7 linked regions of the Macaca fascicularis genome follow. The protein of the gene in region 1 interacts with the protein of each later gene in a biochemical or structural test. Links are inferred from orthologs where the notes say so. Each region holds a gene or a part of one and is shown on either strand. Other genes may lie near its edges.

Region 1 (3,762 bases):
GTTTTGTCCTTGGAATGACTCAGTGCATTTGATTTTTATATTTTTTTCAGACTTCATTAGAGGGGTGGTAGACTCAGAGGACCTCCCTCTAAATATATCCCGTGAGATGTTGCAGCAAAGCAAAATTTTGAAAGTTATCAGGAAGAATTTGGTCAAAAAATGCTTAGAACTCTTTACTGAACTGGCGGAAGATAAAGAGAACTACAAGAAGTTCTATGAGCAGTTCTCTAAAAACATAAAGGTTGGTGTAAATATTTGACCATTGGTAGTTTCCCTGCTGGCCTCTTTTTAGATTTCTTTTTGAATTCAGAGAGTCTTTAGTAAAGAACATACTTTGTTTTAGCTTGGAATACATGAAGACTCACAAAATCGGAAGAAGCTTTCAGAGCTGTTAAGGTACTACACATCTGCCTCTGGCGATGAGATGGTTTCTCTCAAGGATTACTGCACCAGAATGAAGGAAAACCAGAAACATATCTATTATATCACAGGTAGGGGGACGCTATGTTACAGTCTATACGTCGTTCTTATAACCTTGTAGGCTCTGTGGGTGTGTTTTCTACTCAGGTAGCACTGTTATAACTGGCGTTGATCTAGGCAAGATAATTAACATGAACTAGGTCATTATTTGTCTTAGGTTCTGCCTAGGTATCTGGCTAGCAAAAGTTAGAAGTAGATGAAGCCATTCTTACTGTTAAAAGGTCTAAAAGTAACTTTGTAATACCTCAGGTGAGACCAAGGACCAGGTAGCTAACTCAGCCTTTGTGGAACGTCTTCGGAAACATGGCTTAGAAGTGATCTATATGATCGAGCCCATTGATGAGTACTGTGTCCAACAGCTAAAAGAATTTGAGGGGAAGACATTAGTGTCAGTCACCAAAGAGGGCTTGGAACTTCCAGAGGATGAAGAAGAGAAAAAGAAACAGGAAGAGAAAAAAACAAAGTTTGAGAACCTCTGCAAAATCATGAAAGACATACTGGAGAAAAAAGTTGAAAAGGTATGTGAATACAGCATTTCCTGATCATTGATACCTCTAGGGTGTTTTCAAGCTTAGTCATACATGACCCATTTTTCTTTGCTTTCAACTTAAAATAGAAAACTATGTCGTGTATGGTTGGGCGTGGTGGCTCACGCCTGTAATCCCAGCACTTTGGGAGGCTGAGGCAGTGGATCACAAGGTCAGGAGATGGAGACCATCCTGGCTAACACGGTGAAACCCCGTCTCTACTAAAAATACGAAAAAATTAACCAGGCGTGGTGGCGGGCGTCTGGAGGCTGAGGCAGGAGAATCTCCTGAACCCGCAAGGCAGAGGTTGCAGTAAGCCAAGATTGCACCACTGCACCTCCAGCCTGGGTGACCAAGCAAGACTATCTCGGGGGAAAAAAAAGGTGGTGTACGTAAAACGAAATTAATTATAATCTGTGCTCTTTGACTACCTAATGCAACATTTAAGTTCTATTTAATAGTATTTCGGATCTATTGTTTGGGTTCTTCAGATTTCATTTGACAATGAAGGTTTAGGGTTTAATCTTTCTAGGCTCCTAGTCATCACTTCTTGATTACAGGTGGTTGTGTCAAACCGATTGGTGACGTCTCCATGCTGTATTGTCACAAGCACATATGGCTGGACAGCAAACATGGAGAGAATCATGAAAGCTCAAGCCCTAAGAGACAACTCAACAATGGGTTACATGGCAGCAAAGAAACACCTGGAGATAAACCCTGACCATTCCATTATTGAGACCTTAAGGCAAAAGGCAGAGGCTGATAAGAACGACAAGTCTGTGAAGGATCTGGTCATCTTGCTTTACGAAACTGCACTCCTGTCTTCTGGCTTCAGTCTGGAAGATCCCCAGACACATGCCAACAGGATCTACAGGATGATCAAACTTGGTCTGGGTAAGCCTAATACTATGTAATGTTAAAAAGGAAAGAAATAGGCCGGGTGCGTTGGCTCAAGCCTGTAATCCCAGCACTTTGGGATGCCGAGACGGGTGGATCACGAGGTCAGGAGATCGAGACCATCCTGGCTAACACGGTGAAACCCCGTCTCTACTAAAAAATACAAAAAACTAGCTGGGCGATGTGGCGGACGCCTGTAGTCCCAGCTACTCGGGAGGCTGAGGCAGGAGAATGGGGTGAACCCGAGAGGCGGAGCTTGCAGTGAGCTGAGATCCGGCCACTGCACTCCAGCCTGGGCGACAGAGCGAGACTCCGTCTCAAAAAAAAAAGGAAAGAAATACACATGACAGTGAAGAAAGTGGTAAACTTTCAGTTACCCAAACTTGGAGCACCTTGTCCTGCTTGGAGGCATTCAAGAATATTTTTTTTAGGGATAAGTAAGGTCTTATAAGAGCTAAGAAATGAAATTGAGATTTATATGCCCTGTAAATACTGTCTTGAAAGCAGGTATAAATCAGGAGTATTACACTAATAGCTGGCTTTAAGAAATCTTTCTAATACGAGGATTTTATTTTGGAAACAGGTATTGATGAAGATGATCCTACTGCTGATGATACCAGTGCAGCTGTAACTGAAGAAATGCCGCCCCTCGAAGGAGATGACGACACATCACGCATGGAAGAAGTAGACTAACCTCCGGCTGAGGGATGACTTACCTGTTCAATACTCTACAATTCTTCTGATAATATATTTTCCAGGATGTTTTTCTTTATTTTTGTTAATATTAAAAAGTCTGTATGGCATGACAACAACTACTTTAAGGGGAAGATAAGATTTCTGTCTATTTCTAAGTGATGCTGTGGTACCTTAGGCACTAAAGCAGAGCTAGTAATGCTTTTTTAGTTTCACATTGGTTTATTTTAACAGACTGGGGTAACGTGTGTTGTAAGATGTATGTAACATGATGTTAACTTTGTGGTCTACAGTGTTTAGCTATCAAGCCGGATTTCTAAGTAGACCAAATCTTGTTATTGAAGTGTTCTCGAGCTATATATACCTGGATGTTTAGAAAAGTATTTGTTACATCTTGTAGGATCTTTTTGAACTTTTCATCCCCTGTAGTTGCCAATTTTGCATGTACTAGTCCTCTAGAAATAGGTTAAACTGAAGCAACTTGATAGAAGGAACTCTCCACAGGGCTTGTTTTCCAAAGAAAAGTATTGTTTGGAGGAGCAAAGTTATAAGCCTACCTAAGCATATCATAAAGCTGTTCAAAAATAACTCAAGTCTTGTGGATGGAAATGTAGTGCTGGAGTCACATTCTGCTTAAAGTTGTAACAAATACAGATGAGTTAAAAGATGTTGTGTGACAGTGTGTCTTATTTAGGGGGAAAGGGGAATATCTGGATGACATTGGTGCCAAAATGTAAAACATGAGGTGCTAGCAGTAGACGGTTAAACACTGGCCACTCCAAGGGTTGACGTGATCTTCCCAGCATATACTCCGCAGGTGTGGGGTGGAGCACATGAAGTAGGCACAGAAAATAGCAATGCAGACGTGTATCCCCTGTCTCCGTGAGTTAACACGTGTTCTCCCCTTAGCGTCCACATTGTTTTGATGTTATTCATGGAATACCTTCTGTTCTAAATACAGTCACTTAATTTCTTGGCCTTACAGTGTCTCAAAGTTGTTTACCAAATCTACTTAAAGCTATCCTGTTTGAAATCTCTCGTTACTAATTTTCTGGTTTTTTATTGAGCCAGCTGACACCTGTAAGCAGCAGGTAACAAGCTGGTGGGAAAAAGATGGGCTGGCACAAGTCAAAGGAAAAAGTGCCAGGAGCAGTGGCTCACGCCT
Region 2 (3,500 bases), on another chromosome or scaffold:
TCTCGCTCTGTCGCCCAGGCTGGAGTGCAGTGGCCGGATCTCAGCTCACTGCAAGCTCTGCCTCCCGGGTTCACGCCATTGTCCTGCCGCAGCCTCCCAAGTAGCTGGGACTACAGGCGCCTGCTACCTTGCCTGGCTAGTTTTTTGTATTTTTCAGTAGAGACGGGGTTTCACCGTGTTAGCCAGGATGGTCTCGATCTGCTGACCTCGTGATCCGCCCGTCTCGGCCTCCCAAAGTGCTGGGATTACAGGCTTGAGCCACCATGCTGGCCCAAGAACAGAATATTTAAACCATTCTGTGGCTATATCATTTTTAGTTAAAGTTTTTAAGGTTTTATTCTGTTTACCATGTGCAGGAAAGAAAAAAATGGTATCAGGTTAAACGTGAAACTTTGTTGTAGTACAGGTTATTTCAGTAGGAAATACAAGGGAAAAAATAAAATTTTTAAAAAATGACAGTTATAGTGGTTTGGGGCAATTAGATAATTTGAAGTTTTTAGTAGTCAAGGGCATGTTTCTTTCAGAGTCCAGAGAAAATTTAGGTAAAGAAATGAAAAAGGTGAGAAATGACAAGCTACTTTCTGTCATGTAGTGATACTGGAAAGATAAATGGTATGATGGTCCTTTTGTTTTTAGGATTCCAAGCATAAAAGAACGGACAGATCAATTTTATGCTGTTTACGAAAAGGAGAATCTGGCCAGTCATGGCCAAGGTTAACAAAAGAAAGGGCAAAGGTAGGTTTCGTTTCCCTTTTTTGAAAAGTTTGATGTTTTTATTGTAGGTAATAAAAGATACACTTATTTGATGTAAGGAATATACTGCTGTGTTTTTGTTTCACAGCTAAGTATAAAGCCTCATGTTCATGTTTTTTGTCTACTCAGTTTTAACTTAATACGAAGTGTGATTAGAATATCAGTTATTAACTGGTGTAGAATCTTTTGCACTTAAGAGATAGACTTTGCATAAATTACTCAGCTATCAAATGGGAGGGGACAAAGCTTGGTGAAAAAGTAAATTAATCAACTGAAAATAGTTCTTACTAGTAAATTTGTTTTCAAAAGGTGTGTTTAACAATTTTCAGTGTTTTATTTTTCAAAACCAGGGTCTCTCTTTGTTACCCAGGCTGGAGTGCAGTGACACCATCTCGGCTCACTGCAGCCTCAGCTTCCCAGGCTCCAAGTGATCCTCCCCGCTCTGTCCCCCAAGTAGCTGGGACTGCAGGGGCATGCCACGACACCTGGCTCATTTTTGTATTTTTTGTAGAGAAGGGGTATCACAATCTTGCTCAGATTGCTCTTGAACTTCTAGGCTCAAGCGATCTCCCCACCTCAGCTTCCCAAAGTGCTGGTACTATAGGCATGAGCCACCACACTGGCCTAATTTTTTTTTTTTTTTTTTTTTAGATAGTCTCATGCCACTCATGCGAGAGTGCAGTGGTGTGAACATGGCTCACTGCAGCCTCCACCTGGGCTTAAGCGATCCTCCCACCCACCTCAGCTTCCCAAATAGCTAGGATTATAGGAATGTGCCACCACGCCCAGGAACTTTGTTTTTTTGTTTTTTCCCCAGATACAGGATACACTATTGCTCAGGCTGTCTTGAACTCCTGAAGGATTACACAACCAATCTTTCCACCGTGGCCGCCCAAAGTGTTGGGGTTACAGGTGTAAGCCACCCCATTTAGCTTAGTCTATTCTTTGTGTGCTAATTACATGCCCTCATAAAAATACAAAGTCGCAGTTCAAAAAATGTTGTTTTGCCAGGGACCAGTAGCCATGTGGTGCCTGTTGTAGTTAAAAGCGATGCTGGAGGGTGAAGTGGGAGAATTACTTGCGCCCAATTCTGGGTTGCAATGCCATATGTCAGTCAGGTAACCATGCTAAGTTAACATCAGTATGGTGGTGTCCCAGGAAGCGGGGACCACCAGGTTGCTTGAAGAGTTAACAAGACCCTTGATCAGAAATGGAGCTGATCAAAACTCACATTGATCAATAATGGGATTGCACCTGTGAATGCTTGCTGCACTCCAGCCTGGACAACACAGCAAGACTTGGTCTCTTTAGAAGAAAAGAAAATGCAGTCTTAAGGTTCATGCCAAATGCAAATTAACCTAACCTTAGGGTGATGTTTGTATTGATTTATAGCTTAATTGGCTTAGTGTCGACTTCAATAATTGGAAAGACTGGGAAGATGATTCAGATGAAGACATGTCTAATTTTGATCGTTTTTCTGAGGTAAGTTCCATTAAATGGACGTCTCCCCACTCGAAGTACACAGTACCTGTCTGTAGTCAATTTAATTTGGTTTTGGGCACATATTCATGATGCGTGTTATTTTTAAGACCATTTTAATGATTTTAAAAGGAATCAGTGTTACCTGCAAAAGTTAATGTATTAAGACTAACACAGCTAGTTTGCTAATTTCCTAATTTCATCATTGGGATTTTTTTTTTTTTTTTTTTTTTTTTTAAAGCATGATTGCAGTAGTTGACTTGGATTTTGAAGCCATAAAATAAAACTATAAACTTTTGCCGGGCGCGGTGGCTCAAGCCTGTAATCCCAGCACTTTGGGAGGCCGAGACGGGTGGATCACGAGGTCAGGAGATCGAGACCATCCTGGCTAATATGGTGAAACCCCGTCTCTACTAAAAATACAAAAAACTAGCCGGGCGAGGTGGTGGGCGCCTGTAGTCCCAGCTACTCTGGAGGCTGAAGCAGGAGAATGGCGTAAACTCGGGAGGCGGAGCTTGCAGTGAGCTGAGATCCGGCCACTGCACTCCAGCCTGGGCGACAAAGCGAGACTCCGTCTCAAAAAAAAAAAAAAACTTTTGACCAGGCGCTTTGGGAGGAGGCCAGCACTTTGGGAGGCCAAGGCTGGCGGATCACGAGGTCAGGAGATCCAGACCATACTGGCCAACATGGTGAAACCCCGTCTCTACTAAAATACAAAAAAAATAAGCTGGGCGTGGTGGCGTGTCCTTGTGGTCCCACCTACTCCTGAGGCTGAGGCATGGGAATTGCTTGAACCCTGGAGGCAGAGGTTGCAGTGAGCTGAGATCGTGCCACTGGACTCCAGTCTGGCGAAAGAGCGGGACTTGGTCTAAAAAATATGACTATAAACTTTTAAACACAAGAATCATAGGCTGGGTGCGGTGGCTTATGCCTGTAATCCCAGCACTTTGGGAAGCCGAGGCGGGTGAATCACGAGGTCAGGAGTTCCAGACCAGCCTGACCAACATGGCAAAACCTCCCCTCTACTAAAAATACAAAAATTAGCTGGGTGTGGTGGCGTGCGCCTGTAATGCCACCTACTCAGAAGGCTGAGGCAGGAGAATCGTGTGAACCCAGGAGGTGGAGGTTGCAGTAAGCCGTGATCGCTCCACTGCACTCCAGCCTGGGCGACAGAGCAAGATTCCATCTCAAAAAAAATAAATAAATAGGGCTGGGCATGTGACTCACACCTGTAATCCCAGCATTTTGGGAGGGTGAGGCAGGCGGAT
Region 3 (3,500 bases), on another chromosome or scaffold:
TTACTACAGTGCTATGATATACATAAAACTGTTTCAGAATTATAATACCTTAAAAACAGTATATGCCCTAAGTAAAGTTTGAAGGTTTTTTTGGAAGTTTTTGTTTTGCTTTGTCTTTTGTTTTTAGACAGAGTCTCACTCTGTCACCCAGGCTGGAGTGCAGTGGTGCGATCTTGGCTCACTGCAACTTTCGCCTCCCAGGTTCAAGTGATTCTCCTGCCTCAGCCAGCCTCCTGAGTAGCTGGGATTACTTACAGTCATGCCCCACCATGCCCAGCTAATGTTTTGTATTTTTGGTAGAAAGGGGGTTTAGCCCATTGGCCAGGATATTCTCAAACTCCTGGCCTCAAGTGATCTGCCCTCCTTTCCCTCCCAAAACATTAGGATTACAGGCATGACCCAAGGATGTTCTTATTCTTAGAATATATATCCCACTTGAAATATACAGTCAAGATAACGGTATGAAAAGTTACTTGAATTTGTTTTTTCTGTGTAGCTTATGTTGTTAATAAAATACACAGTTTTTTGTTTTTTGTTTTGAGGAGTTTTGCTCTTTCACCCTGGCTGGAGTAAAGTGCAATCTCGGCTCACTGCACCCCCTTCACTCCGCCCCGGGCTCAAGCGGTTCTCCTGCCTCAGCCTCGCTAGTAGCTGGGATTACAGGTGTGCACTACCATGTCTGGCAAATTTTTTATTTTAGAGATGGGGTTTTGCCACGTTGGCCAGGCTGGTCTTGAACTCCTGACCTCAGGTGATTCACCAGCCTCAGCCTCCCAGAGTGCTAGGATAACAGGCATGAGCCATTGCGCCTAGCCATAGCTTATTTCTGTTTTTTTTTTTTTGAGATGGAGTCTTCCTCTGTCACCCAGGATAGAGTGCAGTGGTGTGATCTTGGCTCACTGCAAGCTCCGCCTCCCGGGTTCATGCCATTCTCCTGCCTCAGCCTTCCGAGTAGCGAGGACTACAGGTGTCTGCCACCACGGCTGGCTAATTTTTTGTATTTTTAGTAGAGACAAGGTTTCACCATGTTAGCCAGGATGGTCTTGATCTCCTGACCTCGCGATCTGTCCGCCTCAGCTTCCCAAAGTGCTGGGATTACAGACATGAGCCACCGCACCCAGCCACACAGCTTATTTGTTTGTATTGAGGTTTAGGATTTGCTTTATTTCCATTTTTCTGATTTTATTTTTTGAGTATGTAAAGCATTTAAATGTTTGAAGAGTTACACCTGAGTTAAAAGGTATACCCAGAGAATTGTCAATTTCCGTTGCTGTCTCCTGTACCCCATTCTCACCTACCCCCACCAATCTGTAGTTTCTGGCTTACCTGTTCTGTGTTTTTCATAAAGCCTGTACACGTGTATTATTTTCTCTCCTGTCTTACATAGAAGGTAGCTAAAAGCTAACACATTATGTTAGTCCTGGTTTGGGTGAGTTGAAAGTTACTGCTCTATATACTTTTTAGAAAATTTTATGATACTCTAAATTAAGAAAAATTTTGTTTTTTAGCTTTTAGTAGGAGATCAGCTTTAAATAGAGGAAATTTAAATGTTTTTATAGAGTTAACTAAAGTGGGATATAGTAACTGAATTGGTTGGTGAAAGTTTATAGTTAATATTTAACTTAAGCCTGTTTTAGAACAATCTTTTTTTTTTTTTAAGGAAAAAAAGATACCATGCCACATAGGTGAATATGTATAAAAGGCTCCTAAAATGAGTGTAAATCTGTTTCAGACTTCTAGGCCACTGGGAAGAAGCAGCCCATGATCTTGCCCTTGCCTGTAAATTGGATTATGATGAAGATGCTAGTGCAATGCTGAAAGAAGTTCAACCTAGGGTATGTTAAAGTAGAGAAAGGAAAGTCATTAGTTTAATACTCCATCGCTCGAGTGCTTAGCCCCTGACAGCTGTAATTCATCTGAAAAATAGGCAAAGAAACTATCGGAAGATATAATCTGTAATTGCTGAAGTTTGTGCTCAACTCTGGAGATCTCATTAGGTTTTCATGCTTTCATTTCTCATGCATTATTAGAGCAAACTCTGTTACTTTGGAAGCTTGCAGTGGAATTATAACCAGAAAATTAGAAAAGAGGGTATCAGGTTTACAACAAGGAAACAAATAGAAAATCTATAATTAGCATTACCCAAGATTGAATCTGATGTGTCCTTAGATATCATAGGTGTATACAGCCACTTTATAAAGCAAGAAGCCTTGTGGAAGTTAAGAAGTTTCAGTCTTCCGGCCGGGCGCAGTGCCTCACGCCTGTAATCCCAACACTTTGGGAGGCCAAGGCGGGTGGATCATGAGGTCAGAAGTTCAAGACCAGCCTGGCCAACATAGTGAAACCCTGTGTCTCCTAAACACAAAAAATTAGCCGGGTGTGGTGGCACGCGCCTGTAATCCCAGCTACTTGGGAGGCTGAGGCAGGAGAATCACTTGAACCTGGGAGGTGGAAGGTTGCAGTGAGCTAAGATCAGGCCACTGCACTCCAGCCTGGGTGACAGAGCGAAGCTGTCTTAATAAAACAAAGAATTTTCAATCTTTAAAAAATAATAATATTGAATCCCAAAGGTAGAACATTCCAGCTTTTAAGGATGATTTTTCTCTGAAATTGTTGGTTAAGATAATATTAATGTGTTTACATGGTAAATCTTTCATTCTGTGGGAAGTTCAACTGTCAGGAATTTACTTTGAGATTTTAAGATAGTGGAAATTGTATTGAATTTAATTATTTACTGCCAGAGAGTTCATTTGGTTTTCTGTTTTCTTCTTAAAATAGGGCAAAGTTGTAACTTTGTCAGCAAAGTATAAACAAGCTAAAGTGACAGTTGAATATGAATCTCTTAAATTTACTTTATTCTCTGAGGAAATAACAGATCCAGAGCATTTATTTGATACTACTAACTAGTGTCTGGTACACATATTTACATTTTCCCCTCTTAATCCCTATAGCAATTTGATAAGACTAAATATTTCTTCCTCTCCTATTTTATGGATACAGAAGCTTAAATATACTGTGACATATACTTGGTGTATGTGTTCCCAGTCTTTGCCTTCCCAGGGTTGACATCCGTAATGATACTCTTTCCACTGATCTCAGCTGTCCTTCTGAAACCTAAACACTGTATCTGGTAGAAACTAGCAGGCAAGAATTGTCATGCACTTAGAAACCTATTTGTTAATCTTTGAGCTTAATTGTTTGAGATTGTAACATTTCTAACTTCAAATCCCAGGCCCCTTTACTCTGTTTTACAGTGCCTCGTGCAGTTGAGGTTGGTTTTGTTAAAGCCTGAGCTTGTGTTAGGTCTTTTTCTACAAGACAAATCTGTCATTTTTCTGAACTGCATGTTGAATTAAACATCTCTCCACAAAAAATATTTGTGTTGATGTTATTCAGCTTTTGGAGCAGACTTATTTTGCTATGGCTCTTTTTTCTAGGCACAGAAAATTGCGGAACATCGGAGAAAGTATGAGCGAAAACGTGAAGAGCGAGAGATCAAA
Region 4 (4,251 bases), on another chromosome or scaffold:
AGGAGTTCAAGGTTGCCATGAGCTATGACTGTGCCACTGCACTCCAGCCTGAGCAAGACCTTGTCTCCAAAAAAAGGTCAATTCCATTGACTTTTCTAAGGTGTACACCATCAAGGGGCAGTTCCATCCCCAGGCCATTGGCTCATGAGACATTCTGAAGTCAGAAGGCTAGGGCAGATCGCTTTCAGCAAGCCCCCACGGTGGTTCTCACTCCTACTTCTTTGGATATATGCCCCTCTGTTTAAAAATAAAGTTAATATGGATAAAAAAAAAAAGAAAGAAAGAAAAAGGTCAGTTCCAGAAACTCAGTGTGAATAAAGCATTTTACTTGCTTTTTCTATTAATCTATAACATATGTTGGTTTTTAAAAAATAATGTAAGAACCATGCAAATTGGAGCTTCAAGACAACTTCCCATCTCCCTAGGAGGAGACGGCTGCCCTAAACCCCCATACATAGAAATCCGCCCACTGCCAGGGCTTAAATTTGACGTTGGGGAAATGAAAAATCCAAGCTAAGGCCGAAGCTTGGGGCCTGGGTGACCAGTAGAATGAGGACCACTGGTCAGTTTCAGGCTGAGATGCCTCTTCCAGGGGACAATCTCCAGCTGGCCCTTAAACATTCAGACTTCAAACTCTACTTACAGCATAAAGATGTTTCAAAAGACGTGATACAAATAACTGTGTGTGCAAATGTTCTGCGATGTGTTAAGCACTATTTCAATTTGGTCTAATTTAAGATTTCTTTTCTAGCGTCACGGTTACATACATCATAGATCCAAATACTTTTTTTTAAAGTACAGTTCTACTGTATTGTAACTGAGTTAGCTTGCTTTAAGTGAATTTGTTAAGGAAAGGATTCACCTTGGTCAGTAACAAAAAAGATGGGAAAAAAGCAAGGAGAAAGGAAGCAGCCTGGGGAAAAGCGACCTTAGCCAGGGGGGCGATTTCGGGACTCGGAGGGTCGGGGTGGGCGGACTGGGGAGCTGGCCACGTGGAAGGTCGCTCAGGACCTCTCCAGGAGAGGACACCGCCTCAGGCTGACTGAAAGGAAAGGGGCAGGGGACCCACTGGCGGAGTCACTGGCCTTGCCCCGACCCCGCAGGGCCCGAAGGAAGACACCCACCCCTCCAACGAGACAAAGGCTCCAGCTATGGGAGGCGGAGAGTGCGCGTGCGCCATGGAACGCGCGTGCGCGCTGCGGTCAGCGCCGCGGCCTGAGGCGTAGGGGGAGGGGCACCGGGAAAGGGCAGCGCCGAGAGGAACCAGCCGGGAGGCGCCGGACAGCCGAGCGGCAGGGCGCTCGCGCGCGCCCACTGGTGGCCGGAGGAGAAGGCTCCCGCGGAGGCCGGGCTGCCCGCCCCCTCCCCTGGGGAGGCTCGCGCTCCCGCTGCTCGCGCCTGCGCCGCCTGCCGGCCTCGGGAACGCGCCCTCTTCGCCGGCGCGCGCCCTCGCAGTCACCGCCACCCACCAGCTCCGGCACCAACAGCAGCGCCGCTGCCACCGCCCACCTTCTGCCGCCGCCACCACAGCCACCTTCTCCTCCTCCGCTGTCCTCTCCCGTCCTCGCCTCTGTCGACTATCAGGTAAGCGCCGCGGCTCCGAAATCTGCCTCGCCGTCCGCCCCTGTGCACCCCTGCGCCGCCGCCCCTCGCCCTCAGCCTCCACAGACTGGGGCTTCGTGCGCCGGGCATCGGTCGGGGCGACCGCAGGGCCCCTCCTTGCCTCCCCTGCTCGGGGGCTGGGGCCAGGGCGGCCTGGAAAGGGACGTGAGCAAGGGATGCACGCACGCCTGAGTGCGCGCGTGTGTGTGTGCTGGAGGGTCTTCACCCGCTTCGCGCCGACCCCAGGTGGAGGCCGTGCCGGCAGGGTGGGGCGCGGCGGCGGTGACTTGGGGGAGGGGGCTGCCCTTCACTCTCGACCGCAGTCTTTTGCCGCAATGGGCGTGCGTGGGGGGGAGGGGTCCGATAACGACCCCCGAAACCGAACCTGAAATCCGCTGTCCCTGCCGCTGTTCGCCATCAGCCCTAAGGAAGATGTGGATCGGGTTCTAGAAAAGATGACTGACTCCCTGCACGCCCCTCCCTTTACCTCCCGAGCAGTGATTCCGACAGGGCCTTCACTGCCCCTGATTTTAGGCGGGGGCCGGCCCCCTCCCCTTTTCCTCCTTCAGAAACCCGTAGGGGACATTTGGGGGCTGGGAGGAATCGAGGAGATGGGGAGGGGTCCAGGCGCTGTCACTTTAGTTGCCCTTCCCCCTGCGCACGCCTGGCACAGAGACGCGAGCAGCGCCGTGCCTGAGAACAGTGCGAGGATCCCAGTGTGCACGCTCGCAAAGGCAGGGGTCACCTGGCCTGGCGATGTGGACGGAGTCGGCGGCCGCCGGTCCCCGCTCGCGGGCAGGCACAGCAGCAGCCATGCACTGACGGGCGCGGGGCTGCAGGTGCATCTCGGGGCGGGTTTCTTTCTCAGCGCTCCGCGCGCAGGGTGCCCGGCGTGTGCGCTCCCTGCCGGAGGCGCGGGGCTGGCGCGCAGGGCTCGCCCCTCACTGCGGCAGTGGGTGTGGATCCTGGTGGGCGAGGAGGGGGGAGGATAGGCTGTGCCTCCTCCCACTCCCGAGGTGCCATCTTTTTTCGGCGTGTCACGTCTTTACGGTGCCATGCCAAACCGGGTGGCCGGGCTTCGTAGGACAGGGCGGGGCCTGGCATTAAAGGGAGGGGGACAATCAGCGCTGAAATCTTGGCGTTTTGCTGCTGCGGGCGTGAGCGCTGGGGGCGTTCACCCAGCACCTTCTTCGGGGGCTCTTTGCTTTGTCTGTAGAGGTTACGTGATCTGCGCTCCCAGCCCTGGTTTCTGGCTTTTATTCTGAGGGTGTTTAGCCAACCTCCCCCCACCCCCAAGCACCTCTTTCCTTTTTCGTTCCTCATTTCCGAGCCCATTGTTGGATCTCGAGGCTTGCTGGGGTCGACGAACCCGAGTCAACCCCCCGACCCCCGGCACGCATGGAACGGGCGTGACCGCGCGCAGCCTCGTCTCGGAGTCTGCGGGCGCCAGGAAGCTTCTGAAGGGATGGGATTCGAGTCTCCGTGCTGCGCTGCGGGCGGCGGCAGAGGGATCACGCCCCTCCCAACACCCCGAGTGTCCTGAGGGCCAAGCCACACCAGGTTGCCCAACGAGGGACGCTGGCTACCCATTCGGGGATGGGTGGGGAGCCCCGGTGGGGCCTCTCCAGCTTTACGCCCTGTTGCTTCGCCTGGCGGGAGAATGTGAGGAGGGGGCATAAGGTTACTGGTGCTGCGGCCACACCCATTTTTCTGAGCCCACTGGAGGGGGCACAGAGGGGGAATTGCCATGGGAACCACAGGCGTCCGGAGAGGGGACCTTGGGGCTGGCCCCACCCCTTCCCTGGGGAGATTGGGGACCCTGGGGTAGGCGGGGCCGCGCCCAGTTGGCCTCCTGGAGGACACGGGAGGAAGCCCCCAACCCCTGCACCTGAGACTCTAATTGGCCTCTGGCGGCCGCAGATAGGCAGCCCTTGGGTGTATTTTTATTAATATTATGTCTGTACTGATTAATATTATTTATCGTAAATGCGGGATTTCACCCGTATCCAAGTTCACCGTACCCCCAAAACCGAGTCTGGGGCTGCAAGGAGAACTCCTGGCCAAGGCATCCGAGCCTCGCCCTCCTGTGATGAACCTGGTACGCGCCGTTTTCTGGTTAATTCTATCGCTGAAAACTGGTGCGGGGGGGCGCACTTCTGAGACGAACGAGCATCTAGGAGCTGAATCCTCCACGCGGGCTGCCCAGGTTGATCTGAATTTCCGGGGAATGGCTTGACTGGGGAACTAGAGCCCGCCCGGGACCAGGCTGACCTTCCTCGACGGTGGCGTCGAGGGCTGGAGCCTGAGTGCTGCGAGGCTTCCCGCATGGCTGAGCCACCGCGAGGGGTTGCAGAGCGGCTCAGGGGTCAGTTCAAGCATCTTCTCTCCTCCCTCGCCCCCAGACAGAGCTGGGCGCGGGATTCCGGTTCCAGATGGAGTGAGGGTCTCGGGACGGCCCTGGAAAAGGGGAGCCCACGGTCAAGGCTGCCTATTGCCATCTCGAGCAGAGATGTCACCTGCTGCCGTTGGAGGAAAGGGAGCCCGGTGGGGATGAGCGCATTTAGCCCAATGCTGGGAACAAAGCACAATCCGCGCTTCTGCGATTTCGCTCCATTTTGAAATGTGTTGGCGCTTTGGTTGGGCCACTGC
Region 5 (4,255 bases), on another chromosome or scaffold:
TTTGGAACAGTGCAGTAACCTGACCTACATCCAGTGTTGTGGGTTGAAACAAAAAACATCTGGAACCGTCTGTCTTGAACTGTTATGGCACCCAGAAAAAACAATGTACTACAATTAAACTGGCAAAAACGAAGCAACCGACCTCCTTTCCTTTTATGTTTTTTGTTTTTGTTTCGTTTTGTTTTGGAGGGACTGGACGGAGTCTCACTCTGTCGCCCAGGCTGGAGTACCATGGCGCGATCTCGGCTCACTGCAACCTCTGCCTCTCGGGTTCAAGCGATTCTCCTGCCTCAACCTCCCGAGTAGCTGGGACTACAGATGCCCGCACCACGCCCGGCTAGTTTTTGTATTTTTAGTAGAGACAGGTTTTCAGCATGTTGGCCAGGCTGGTCTCGAACTTCTGACCTCAAGTGATCTGCCCCTTGGCCTCCCAAAGTGCTGGGATTACAGGTGTCAGCCACCGCGCCCGGTCTCACCTTCTTTATTTCTGCAAAAGAAATTAAAATAATCCACGCCATTAATCGTGCATGTATTTCGAGTAGGACAACAATGAATTGGGAGAACATTTCTGTCAATTATAACTCAGATGGTGATCAGTTTTCTGTCGTCCTTGGAAATTTCTCATCTCTCATCTCTATTTTTTTTTCCATATGTCTTGAGCACACCAAGCTTTTACATTGGCCTTCATTTTTGCTGTTCCCTGTGCCTGGGGTCCGTTTGGACTTTTTCCTATCCTTGAAATCCAAATCTAAAGGATGATCTTTCCTACCCATACCATACAACTTAGCTCCCGGTGGCAATCACACCACCTTCATTTTTTTTGTAGTGTTAGCTGTGAAATTTCTTGTTTATCTACTTATGTACTAGTTTATTAGTTTATAGTTCGTCTACCCCAATGCAAAATAATGACAGTAGACACTTTGCTGGTTTTTATGACTGGTTTGCAATAAATATGGAATATTAGGCACCTGCTGCCTACTAATGTTTCTATTCTCACAAGCGTCTCATAAATTGACTGCATGAAAGAATGCATTTGTGGGTGAGTAGATGGGTGGGTGAATAAATGAACAAAGATAGCGAGCGGACAACACTGACTCCCATTCATTGCGGGGCTATGACGCTCTGGAGTCCAGGTGGCCAAACGCGGCTGCACCACGTGGCCGGCCCAGCACCACGTGGTCAGCTCGGCGACCGGCTGGAGTCAGCCACTGTTCCACCGTGCACCGCTTCGTTCCCGCCCTAGAGGGCAAACCAGCCCCGACTTCCGGCCTCCATTAGGTCGTAGAGGTCAGTTGCCCTAACGACCAGCTGGTTCCCGCCTCTACGTTGCGTCACTTCCTTCCACGCCCACCTCGATCATTAACGCGCCTGTGCAGAAGGGAAGCAACCCGGGGAGCCCTTCTTCTGCGCAGGCGTCGCGCCCGGGGGCCGGGGCCGGGCGGCTCCGCGGTGCGCAAGCGCAACCGTCGGTGGGTCGGGGATCGGTCGCCTGAGAGGTGAGTGAGGGGCACTGTGCTGAGCCTGGCGGGTGTGGGGTCTGCGACTCGGGGCTCACGGGGCCCCAGAGCCCGTAAGAGGTTGGGGATCGTGAGGCCAGGGTCAGCGCGACCCGCGGGGTCCTGTGAGTAGGCGGAGCGGAGGGGAAACTGAGGCCGGGCGGCATCGGCAGGCCCTTCGAGCCCTGATCTCCCTTCCCCGGGCCCCAGGTCCTGGAAATGCTGGTCCGCGGACTGGTGGCGAGGACGGCTGGAGGGGAAGGCGCCCCGCATGTACTGAGCGCTCGCTGGGTGTTCGCTGCCGTTCCGCTCTTACTAACTGCCTGGAAAAGTCGTCCCTGTGACTCGGGGACCCCCGTTTGTGGGGACTCAAGTCGGGGCTCTGGTCCCAGCGTCGCCAGTCCCTACCTGGGTGACCTTGCCCAGCCTCTTGGCTTCTCGGAGCCTCAGTTTTCCCGTCTGTAAAACGGGCGTTGTCAGAAGTCCCTGCCTGGGAGAATGAGAGCCGCCGCAGGGTCCAGCGGAATCTGAGAACTCCAAAGAATTAGCAGCCGTTCGTCTTATTTCATGTTTAGAGTCTTCTTCTGCATATCGTGCTAGAGGTGGGGGAAATCTGGGATTCAGAACCAGCCCACCACCACCACCCACCCGCTGTGTAAACCTGGATGAGTTGCCTTCCCTCTCTGAGCAAACCTTCTTTTTCGTAAACGAGTTGTAAAAGCAGATGTCTGGGAGGGTCATTATGAGGATAAGCCCACATTCAATGATTTGATCAGGTGCCTGGAACTTGATAAGAGAGAGCTGGCTTGAGAACAGCTGTTTTTGTTATTAGGTGGCAGAAAATTGCAGTGCAATGTGCCTCTCAGAGGTTGGATCATTGTCCCGTTTACTTTTGCTTCTGTCTCTGATTATTCGTTCTCTCTGCCTTTTCCCTCCCTTGACCAGTGTGGTTCTCAACCAGGAACAATTCTGTGCCCCAGAGATTCTTGGTGACATTTGTGCTTTTCACGATTCAGGGGACCCCCTGGTTTGGAGTCGGTGGAGGCCAGGGTTGCTGCTCAGCACCCTGCAGTGCCCAGGACGGCCCCACCCCAGAAAACGATCCAACTTTGAATGTCAATAACGCTTTAAAAACCACACCCTACCATACGGGTGGATCACCTGAGGTCAGGAGTTCGAGACCAGCCTGACCAATGTGGTGAAACCCCGTCTCTCTTGAAAATACAAAACTTAGCTGGGCATGGTGGCGTGCGCCTGTAATCCCAGCTACTCAGGAGGCTGAGGCAGAAGAATCCCTTGAACCCAGGAGGCAGAGGTTACAGAGACCCAAGATCACGCCACTGCACTCCAGCCTGGGTGACAGAGCGAGACCCTGTCAAAAAAAACCAAAAAACAAAAAAAACCTACCCTAGATCAGTGATTCTTCCCCAGCATGGGCAGCTGGGAGTGTGTGGGCCCGGGAAATGGTATACAAAGTTTTGTGTGTGCACCCAATTTTGTGTGGCGAGAAGTGGGCACTTTGGAGTTTAGCTTCTCAAGTGAGGCTGCCTGGGTTCAGAACGCCTCATTTGCATCCTCCTAGCTGGGTGGTCTTGGGTGGTTCCCATCTTTCCAAGCCTCAGTTTTTCTTCTGTGGAATGGGGATTATAAAAGTAACCACCTCAGGTGTGTGAGGATTCAACCGGGCAAGGTATCAGCTAACCAGAAGGCCAAATCCACCTCTGGCCTGTTTTTGGGAATGAAGGTTTGTGGGAACACAGCCACACTCCTTGGTTTGCATGTTACCTGTGGTTGGTTTCGAGCTAAGAAGACACAGTTGAACAGTTGCCGTAGGGACCTTAGCGCCTGCCGAGCTGAAGACAGTCTGGCCCTTTTCAGAAAAACCTCTGCTGACCCCTAAAATAAGCTATCGCATGTACAGCACTTAGCTGGGTGCCTGGAAAGCTGTAAGCGCGCCAAGGATTTGAGCTGAGGTTTATAATTAAATCTTCCTAGAAGGGTGAATGATTCCAAATGGGGGTGAGCTCTGCCCCAGATTGGACGGATCCTTGAGAGCGGCAGTCTTACTCAATTCTATGGTTGTTTTTTTGCCAAGACCCAACAGTGGCCCTGGTAGGAAGTGCTCGGTACAGGCCGAAGGCATAAAAGGGGTGGTTTGAGATAAGGTCTTGCTCTGTCGCCCAGGCTGGAGTGTAGTGGCGCAATCTCCGCTCACTGCAGCCTCGACCTCCCGGGCTCAGGCCCTCCCACCTCAGCCTCCTGAGTAGCTGGGACTACAGGTGTGCACTACCACACCCGGCTAATTTTAGTATTTTGTTGTTTTAGAGATAGGGTTTCACCGTGTTACCCAGGCTGGTCTCAAACTCCTGGGTTCAAGCGATCCTCCACCTTGGCCTCCAGAGTTCTGTGATTACAGGCGTGCCTCACTGCACCTGGCCCGTTTTCTCTTTTACTGAGGTGGAAACAGAAACCCAGAGAGAAATGGCCTCCCCATTTCAAGGAACTTGACCACGTGTCTGTGAATTTTTCAACCATCGAAGGCTTTCCTGAGTCCATAGGGTTTAGACGCTGCCAGATGCTGGCGTTCAAAGGGAAGCTGGGTCTGTCAAGAGGTAGAAAGCCTTGTAAGAGATGCTGGGCCAGAGATGGAGTTTGCAGGAATACTAGATTCTCTCCTAGAGTTGGGCAGGAGAGGTGAGCACTTGAGTTTGAGTGGCACGTACAGGGTTTGGTGTAGGCCCCACAGACGACCCCCAGCT
Region 6 (3,500 bases), on another chromosome or scaffold:
AAATCTGTTTTTTTTTTTTTTCCATTGCCTTTTGACCTCCATTGTTTCTGTGAGAACTCAACAATCATTCATATATTTGTTCCTTATAGTCTGTTTTTTTCTTCACTGGTTTTAAGATTTTATCTTTGGTATTTAGTAGTTTGGCTTTGATGTGGTTTTTTTTTTTTTTTTTTGCATCTATCCTGTATTCACTGAGCCTTTTTGATCTGTGGGTTAATATCTTTCATTAGTTTTGGAAAGTTTTTAGCCATTATCTCTTCTTCTGTTTCTTCCCATTTCTGCTCTCCTCCGTCTGGAAAGCTAATAACATGCTTTTTAGACCATTTGATACTATTCCTTAGATTTTAATGAGTTGAATTTTTAAATTCTTTGCACGATTTTTCCTCTGTGTATTTCAGTTTGGGTAATTTCAGTTGTCCTTATGTTCACTGATTCTTTGTAACTGCTGTTAAGCCCAACAAATGAATTATTTATTTCTTATGTTGTATTTTTTATTGGTGGCATTTTCATTTAGTTTTTTTTTTTTTTAATAGACTTTTCTTCTCTGTGTCTCATGTGTTCATGCATATTGTCTACCTTTTCCACTAAGTCCTTTCACACATTTACCATGGTTATCTTAATTAAAGTCTCTGGTAGTTTCATCATCTGGTTCATCTCTGAGTCTGCTCTGTTACCAGTTCATCATGTGTCTTATAATTTTATTGTATGCCAGGCATTTTGTATAAAAGAACATTAGAGACTGAGGTAAATAAAGATTTTCCTCAGAAAATGGCACACCTAGGCTGGGCACCGTGGCTCAGGCCTGTAATCCTAGCACTTTGGGAGGCCAAGGCATGCAGATCGCTTGAGCCCAGGAGTTCAAGACCAGCCTGGGCAACTTGGAGAAACCCCATCTCTACAAAAAAAAAAAAAAATACAAAAACTAGCCAGGCATGGTGGTTGGCACCTCTAGTCCTGGCTACTTGGGAGGCTGAGGGGGGAGGATCATCTGAGCTTGGGAGGTTGAGGCTGCAGTGAACTGTGATCGAGCTACTGCACTCCAGCCTGGGTGACAGAGTGAGACCCTGTCTTAAAACAAATAAACAAGAAAACGGCACACATTTCTTCTGTTGAGCCACAAGAGGGAGGGGCTGTGTGAACCTCATCTGTAGTTTAGGGGCAACTTTTGTTGGAATTTCTTTACCACTGGCTTTAAATGTGTTCAGAGTAGAATTAGGAGTTTCCCTTCAGCAGACCTTGGGATCTTAGCCCTGGCAGAATTCCAGGGATGTCTTTATGTTTTAAAGTCGCCAGCTTTTGGAACTGTGGGAGACCTCTGGTATTCAGCCCTGCCGTCGGGCTGTGGGGCCGCTGGGGTGTTCGCTGCTCTCCACTCTCACCCCGCTCTGTACCTCAGGGGGTTTCTCTCCACCTCACTACCTCGCACCCAGCCTTCCCTGAAGCCCGTGTGAGGGAGTTGGCGGGGGCAGAGGCGGGCTGTGCTGGGGCTCCCTGGAGTCCTCATCTGTCACGCCAGTCCCCACATGGTCATGAACTTCCACTCGTTTCCCCTCACGCCCAGCCCCAGGGCATCCCGCCCGCCTGCCAAGCACCAGGATAAAAGCTGTGGGCTCCTTCCCCAAGGAAAGGCTCGTCCTGTCTGCATTTTGATTAATTTAGGTCCCTTTGCATTGCCAGCCCTCAGATGGCTTTAAATTTGATTTTGTTGCTTGCTTGGCTTGTTTTCATCTTTAGGGCGAGACAGTCTTTTGTAGCTTTTCTGCCTTCTGACTGGAAGTGGGTGCCTCCTGCATTTTCTTAACACCTTTTCCCCAGCTTATTTTGGAAACTGTCAAACCTACAGAGAGCTGAAAGAACAGTACAGTTAACATCTATCCACCCTTCACCCACATTCACCACTTGTGAACATTTTAATGCATTGACTTAATGTGTCTGTCTGCTTATATATGCATTTGTATGTGTATCCTTTTTTTTTTCCCCTAACCGATTTGAGAGTAAGTTGCAGTCATAATAACCTGGATCTCCCAAAAACAAAGGCGTCCTCTTGTATGACCACAGTTGAATTGTCCTACCTTAGAAATTCATCATTGATGCGATAATACTAAGGTAGACGGTCCACGGGCCATCCGGAAAATCTGGAAACATTGACAGATATGCATGTCATTGTCAAGGTCATCTCCAGTCTGTGAAAAATAAATCATCTGCATTTCTAGACATCCGTTAATATTTTAATTCTCCCCAGCTTTCCCTAAAACATCCTTTGTAGCTGCTTTTTAAAAATTCAGGGTCCATTGAAAGCACCAGTGTTGCCTATGACCTGCCTTTTTACCTCTTTTTACTGGAAAGTCTCACTTCTTTTTTGGGAGACTTTTATGACAGTGACATTGAGCTGTGTCCAGGCCAGTTCTTTTATAAAATGTTCTACGATCTGGATTCATGTATGTATTTCCACATGATGCTGAGTGTTTTCAGATAATTCAAGAACCAGATTTTCACATGAAACAATCGCAATGCTTCAGCACTGCACAGTCCACAGAAGCCTGCGGCTGCCTCTGGCCCCACCTGCCCCTGCTCCCCCAGGCCTCCCCTGCCCTTTTTCTTCTCTCCCTGCTTCTCCCTTGCCCTCAGCCCAGCAGCGTCTCCTGGGCAGTCCAGGCTCTCGGGGCTGGGTTGGGTAGCAGCCCCTGCAGCCGGTCCCACTGAGTCTGCCCTGCCTTCCAGATTCTGGTACAGGTCAAAGAGGTCCTCTCCAAGCTGAGCACGCTCGTGGAAACCACACTCAAAGAGGTGCGCGTTGTGGGGCAGTCGGGGGAGGGCCAGCGGGGGTGGGCTCTCTGGCTGGGGAGGGGCCACAGAGCTCAGGAACTTACGGAGCCACCTCCCTGTCTCCCTCACACCCCCACCCCTGTGCCTTTCCTCCTGAATATCCCATTTCTCTGCTGGCCTCTTGGTCTCTGTCCCACCCTCTTCGTTTGTGTCCCCTGCTTGTGTCTCTTGCATGATTCTTCTCGGTCTACTGTGAACTCTTACCCTTCCCCTCACCTCTGCCCCCTCCCCACGTCTCTCTCTGGGCCCCTCCCTCTCCGGTGGCCTCTTTTCTTTCAGACAGAGAAGATTACAGTATGCGGGGACACCCATGGCCAGTTCTATGACCTCCTCAACATATTTGAGCTCAACGGTTTACCCTCGGAGACCAACCCCTATGTATCCTTCTCGGCAGAGCCACCCTCTCCCCACCTCCACCCCCAGCCCCAGCCTCAGATCTGCAGAGGGGGAGGAGCCCCTGCCAGGGAAAAGACGTGACCTTGGAAAGGAGAGGCCTGGCCATGCTGGGGCACCAAGATGTGGGTGGAGCTGCAGGCTGGCCACGCACCCCAGGCTCCAGGCTCAGACAGGCCTGGGCCAGCACCCAGCGGCTGTAGGACCTGAGCTGGTAGCTCAGTCTCTCTGGGCCCTGGCTTGTCTTCGTCTGCCTCAGGATCGCATTTGAATGGCACCTG
Region 7 (3,500 bases), on another chromosome or scaffold:
GCCCAATAAATACCTTGGGTGCTGAGTGTCTAATTGGCTTTCCTGGGCAGAGATACTGTGTACATGTTGCTGCATTTTTGTTGCTGGGGGAAGTGTGTGTTCTGTGGCACTTCATGGGAGGGAGAAAGCATAAGGAAGCTTGCATATGGATTTTTCCAGATTCAGCCTGTGTCTTCGCCCTCATCATCTCACTGTGTATCGTTACCACTGTGATCCCACCAAATACTGATTTGTGTGGGCTCTAGGGTTCTCTGAACATGAAAGCAGTCTTGGTAACCTTTGACACAAAGTGATATATTTGCTGAAAATTTTCCATTAGGGCAGTACAAATCTACTGGGAATAATTGGTCTTTATTCAGCAGACATTGTTGAGTAACTAATATGTGTACATGCACATAGTTACGAGGATGTAAAACAATACAGTTGGTGTACTTAAGGACATCATTGTTTGCTGGAAGGGGCAGATCATAATGCCGTATGTTATGTAGGCAGAGTCAAGATACTGTGGGAGAAAAATTAGGACATAGAGCTTTGGGATTTCAGTGACAGTTTTATAGGGGAGGTATCATTTGAACCGATTTTCTGAATGTTAGCGGGGATCAGGCAGGGAAAGTAGGTTGGATTCAGACGGTGAAAAGCGTGACCCATTTGAAATTGCGGGGACGGGTGGGGAAGGGCAGACAAGAGAGTGACATGACTAGAGTAATGCACTAGAAAGTTGTGTTACACACATATCCATTAGTAAGCATTGCTAAAGGCATCCATGTCTCAGTCACTAATAGCCATTTCCTTTTTTGTAGTTATTAAGAAATTTATGATTCAGGGTGGAGACTTCTCAAATCAGAATGGGACAGGTGGAGAAAGTATTTATGGTGAAAAATTTGAAGATGAAAATTTCCACTATAAGGTAATGTTATTGCTGATAAAAAGATCATTATATATCTGGAATACTTGTTGGATTAAGACACCAAAAAATGTCTCAAGTGTGCTTAGATTCTCCCATTTCTTGTAAAAGGAATCACTTTTGTAAATAACGGTTCTTTAATATGGAAAAGTTTTCATGCAGTAAAGATTTATTTAGCATTATTTCATTGTGATCCAGTTTTTATATGCTTCAGTTAAGCCAATGAGTTTTTACATGCGACCAGCATCTGGCAAAATTGTTTCCAGGAAAAATGTTTTCGTTGTTGGAAGGATGGTAACTTGTGCATCTTTATCCTTGAATTTGAAGAGCAACAAAACCATCACTAATATCCAGGATGTCAGGGGATTTGCACAATAGTAGATGTAGTTAAATGTCCAACCTCCTAAAGGACTTTAGTGGTGCCTGTGCCTTCTTATCTTCATTGTCCCAAGATGTAATGGGGGTATATTGCATCATTCAAGTTATAAGAATGGACATGTAAATACAAAAGTAAAGTGATATTTTTAGAAATAAGAAATATGAGCAAGGTTATTAGGATAATTTGAAAAAATGTCATCAGTCTTCCTGCCAGTGTCTATTGAGACTACAATTCTATGTGCAGCACTATCACTGGCACCAAAGGTTTATAAAAATGAAAGGCCTTGATGTCAAGGAATTTATAATCCTACCTCAGAGACAAGATTAAGATACATGGAATTACTGGAGGATAATAGTATATAAATAAATGCTAAATTGATTGAATAACCTTGCTTGTATGACATTGCTAATACATACTGTCTGTATACTGTAGGAGAAAGATGTGATTAATGCAGTCTGAATTATTATGGAAGTCATTGAGGAGGAATGACTGGCTACGTAGGCTGTGCAGACTGGGTCTTGCAAGGTGGCAACGTGGCTGAAATTTGGTTAGGCAGGAACCGTAGTATTGATGCAGAATTTAAAAAGGGACGTGGGTGAGGAAAGACACGTCAAGGAAATAAAGTTCTAGTTACTGTTGTACCAAAGGAAGCTACCAGAAGGATGAAAACTAAAGGTTATGTGATGATCAGGTTGATATAGAGAAAAGGGGCCTATAGACAAGATACATGGTTCTTGCTTTCTATAAACTTGGTGGCCTTAAAATCTGAATTTGATTTAGATTGAGGGGAGTAAAAGGCATTTTGGTGGGGTGGGGGGGTGTCGTGAGACATTATATAACATGAGAGTTACGGTGCGTGCACCAACAAGGAATACATTTAGAAAGCCTAGGAGATAAAGTGAAAAGGTTCAGAAATTGGGTTTCATAGATGCTTTGACAGTATTATGCCAAGGTAGAATTTTGATTTCAAGATGCATGCAGCAGTTTCTTTTGAGCACTCTCTGAAGAGTTGATTCATCTGGGATGAAAACCTAATCCAAATCCTGTATGATTTGGATTCTTTTGAGATTAGGAAAGTATCAAACTGAATGTCTTGGGTAAATTCAATATCCCATTACTGTTCCCAGTTTATTGATACGTAAAGGAAAACATACTGTAGGCATATTTATGAATTTGGAAGACTATTCAGATCTTCCCAGAAAAAAAGAGCATTCATCATAAAAAGGGCAAAATATATGACAAGAGTTTCATAATGCTGCATCTTCATTTTAAAGGTGAAGTATAAGTATCTTCTCATGGCCGGTTTAGAAATAAGCTTCCCTCGGACTATTGTTTCTGTCACCTATTTACTTTGATAAGGTTTTTTAAAGTTTAAAAAGTGATTAAGTGTGTCCCATGTTTTGTGAATTAAAGGTTGCAGTTTATAAAAAAAAGTAATTAAAAATGTCATAAGTGAAAAGTAAAAGAGAGTACAGTTTGATCTAAATGGTAGTATAGTGCACCTCAGTTTTATGTTCAGTAAAAGAACAGTTCAGACTAACACACGATTCAGAAAGAACACATCTAACCTTGGTTTTCTTTTAATGATTTTTATTTCTACAGCATGATCGGGAGGGTTTACTGAGCATGGCAAACGCAGGCCGCAACACAAATGGTTCTCAGTTTTTTATCACAACAGTTCCAACTCCTCATTTGGATGGGAAACATGTGGTGTTTGGCCAAGTAATTAAAGGAATAGGAGTGACAAGGATATTGGAAAATGTGGAAGTGAAAGGTGAAAAACCTGCTAAAGTAAGTAAAAAGTTACAGTGAAACGCACTTATTATCTTAGTTGCTATCTTTTTTTTTTTTTTTGAGGTGGAGTCTCGCTCTGTTACAGGCTGGAGTGCAGTGGTGCAATCTTGGCTCACTGCAGCCTCTGCCTCCTGGGCTTAAGCTATTCTCCTGCCTCAGCCTCCAGAGTAGCAGGGATTACAGGTGCACGCTACCACACCTGGCTAATTTTTTTTGTATTTTTAATAGAGACGGGGTTTCACCATGTTGGCCAGGCTGGTCTCGAACTCCTGACCTTGTGATCCGCCCACCTCGGCCTCCCAAAGTGCCGGGATTACAGGCATGAGCCACCGTGCCCAGCTTATTAGTTGCAATATTAAAGAAATGTAAGTAAAAGGATCAGTGATTATTAGCTGGAAAAATGTTACAATAATTTTGGGTATA

Evidence for each region.
Region 2: the proteins of HSP90AA1 (region 1) and PTGES3 form a complex in vitro, tested with the Homo sapiens proteins (10 studies listed by BioGRID). The link is inferred for Macaca fascicularis from reciprocal best matches to the Homo sapiens genes HSP90AA1 and PTGES3.
Region 3: the proteins of HSP90AA1 (region 1) and ST13 form a complex in vitro, tested with the Homo sapiens proteins (2 studies listed by BioGRID). The link is inferred for Macaca fascicularis from reciprocal best matches to the Homo sapiens genes HSP90AA1 and ST13.
Region 4: the proteins of HSP90AA1 (region 1) and MAPT form a complex in vitro, tested with the Homo sapiens proteins (3 studies listed by BioGRID, with this or other methods). The link is inferred for Macaca fascicularis from reciprocal best matches to the Homo sapiens genes HSP90AA1 and MAPT.
Region 5: the proteins of HSP90AA1 (region 1) and SGTA form a complex in vitro, tested with the Homo sapiens proteins (2 studies listed by BioGRID, with this or other methods). The link is inferred for Macaca fascicularis from reciprocal best matches to the Homo sapiens genes HSP90AA1 and SGTA.
Region 6: the proteins of HSP90AA1 (region 1) and PPP5C form a complex in vitro, tested with the Homo sapiens proteins (4 studies listed by BioGRID, with this or other methods). The link is inferred for Macaca fascicularis from reciprocal best matches to the Homo sapiens genes HSP90AA1 and PPP5C.
Region 7: the proteins of HSP90AA1 (region 1) and PPID form a complex in vitro, tested with the Homo sapiens proteins (2 studies listed by BioGRID). The link is inferred for Macaca fascicularis from reciprocal best matches to the Homo sapiens genes HSP90AA1 and PPID.

What each region holds. Positions count from the first base shown.
Region 1 is NC_088381.1:170,183,732-170,187,493, reverse strand, and holds the end of HSP90AA1 (heat shock protein HSP 90-alpha), read left to right. Parts: intron 1-50; coding exon 51-241; intron 242-343; coding exon 344-491; intron 492-729; coding exon 730-998; intron 999-1,567; coding exon 1,568-1,901; intron 1,902-2,487; coding exon 2,488-2,597; 3' UTR 2,598-3,262; downstream 3,263-3,762. UniProt on the Homo sapiens protein: Molecular chaperone that promotes the maturation, structural maintenance and proper regulation of specific target proteins involved for instance in cell cycle control and signal transduction.
Region 2 is NC_088385.1:63,477,225-63,480,724, reverse strand, and holds part of PTGES3 (prostaglandin E synthase 3), read left to right. Parts: intron 1-636; coding exon 637-735; intron 736-2,145; coding exon 2,146-2,235; intron 2,236-3,500. UniProt on the Homo sapiens protein: Cytosolic prostaglandin synthase that catalyzes the oxidoreduction of prostaglandin endoperoxide H2 (PGH2) to prostaglandin E2 (PGE2).
Region 3 is NC_088384.1:10,804,210-10,807,709, forward strand, and holds part of ST13 (hsc70-interacting protein), read left to right. Parts: intron 1-1,732; coding exon 1,733-1,835; intron 1,836-3,437; coding exon 3,438-3,500. UniProt on the Homo sapiens protein: One HIP oligomer binds the ATPase domains of at least two HSC70 molecules dependent on activation of the HSC70 ATPase by HSP40. Stabilizes the ADP state of HSC70 that has a high affinity for substrate protein.
Region 4 is NC_088390.1:67,473,557-67,477,807, forward strand, and holds the start of MAPT (microtubule-associated protein tau), read left to right. Parts: upstream 1-1,451; 5' UTR 1,452-1,584; exon of another isoform or gene 1,585-2,025; intron 2,026-2,271; exon of another isoform or gene 2,272-2,527; intron 2,528-3,037; exon of another isoform or gene 3,038-3,162; intron 3,163-4,251. UniProt on the Homo sapiens protein: Promotes microtubule assembly and stability, and might be involved in the establishment and maintenance of neuronal polarity.
Region 5 is NC_088393.1:3,463,801-3,468,055, reverse strand, and holds the start of SGTA (small glutamine-rich tetratricopeptide repeat-containing protein alpha), read left to right. Parts: upstream 1-1,455; 5' UTR 1,456-1,496; intron 1,497-4,255. UniProt on the Homo sapiens protein: Co-chaperone that binds misfolded and hydrophobic patches-containing client proteins in the cytosol. Mediates their targeting to the endoplasmic reticulum but also regulates their sorting to the proteasome when targeting fails.
Region 6 is NC_088393.1:54,411,392-54,414,891, forward strand, and holds part of PPP5C (serine/threonine-protein phosphatase 5), read left to right. Parts: intron 1-2,721; coding exon 2,722-2,787; intron 2,788-3,105; coding exon 3,106-3,204; intron 3,205-3,500. UniProt on the Homo sapiens protein: Serine/threonine-protein phosphatase that dephosphorylates a myriad of proteins involved in different signaling pathways including the kinases CSNK1E, ASK1/MAP3K5, PRKDC and RAF1, the nuclear receptors NR3C1, PPARG, ESR1 and ESR2, SMAD proteins and TAU/MAPT.
Region 7 is NC_088379.1:163,628,949-163,632,448, reverse strand, and holds part of PPID (peptidyl-prolyl cis-trans isomerase D), read left to right. Parts: intron 1-800; coding exon 801-907; intron 908-2,885; coding exon 2,886-3,074; intron 3,075-3,500. UniProt on the Homo sapiens protein: PPIase that catalyzes the cis-trans isomerization of proline imidic peptide bonds in oligopeptides and may therefore assist protein folding. Proposed to act as a co-chaperone in HSP90 complexes such as in unligated steroid receptors heterocomplexes.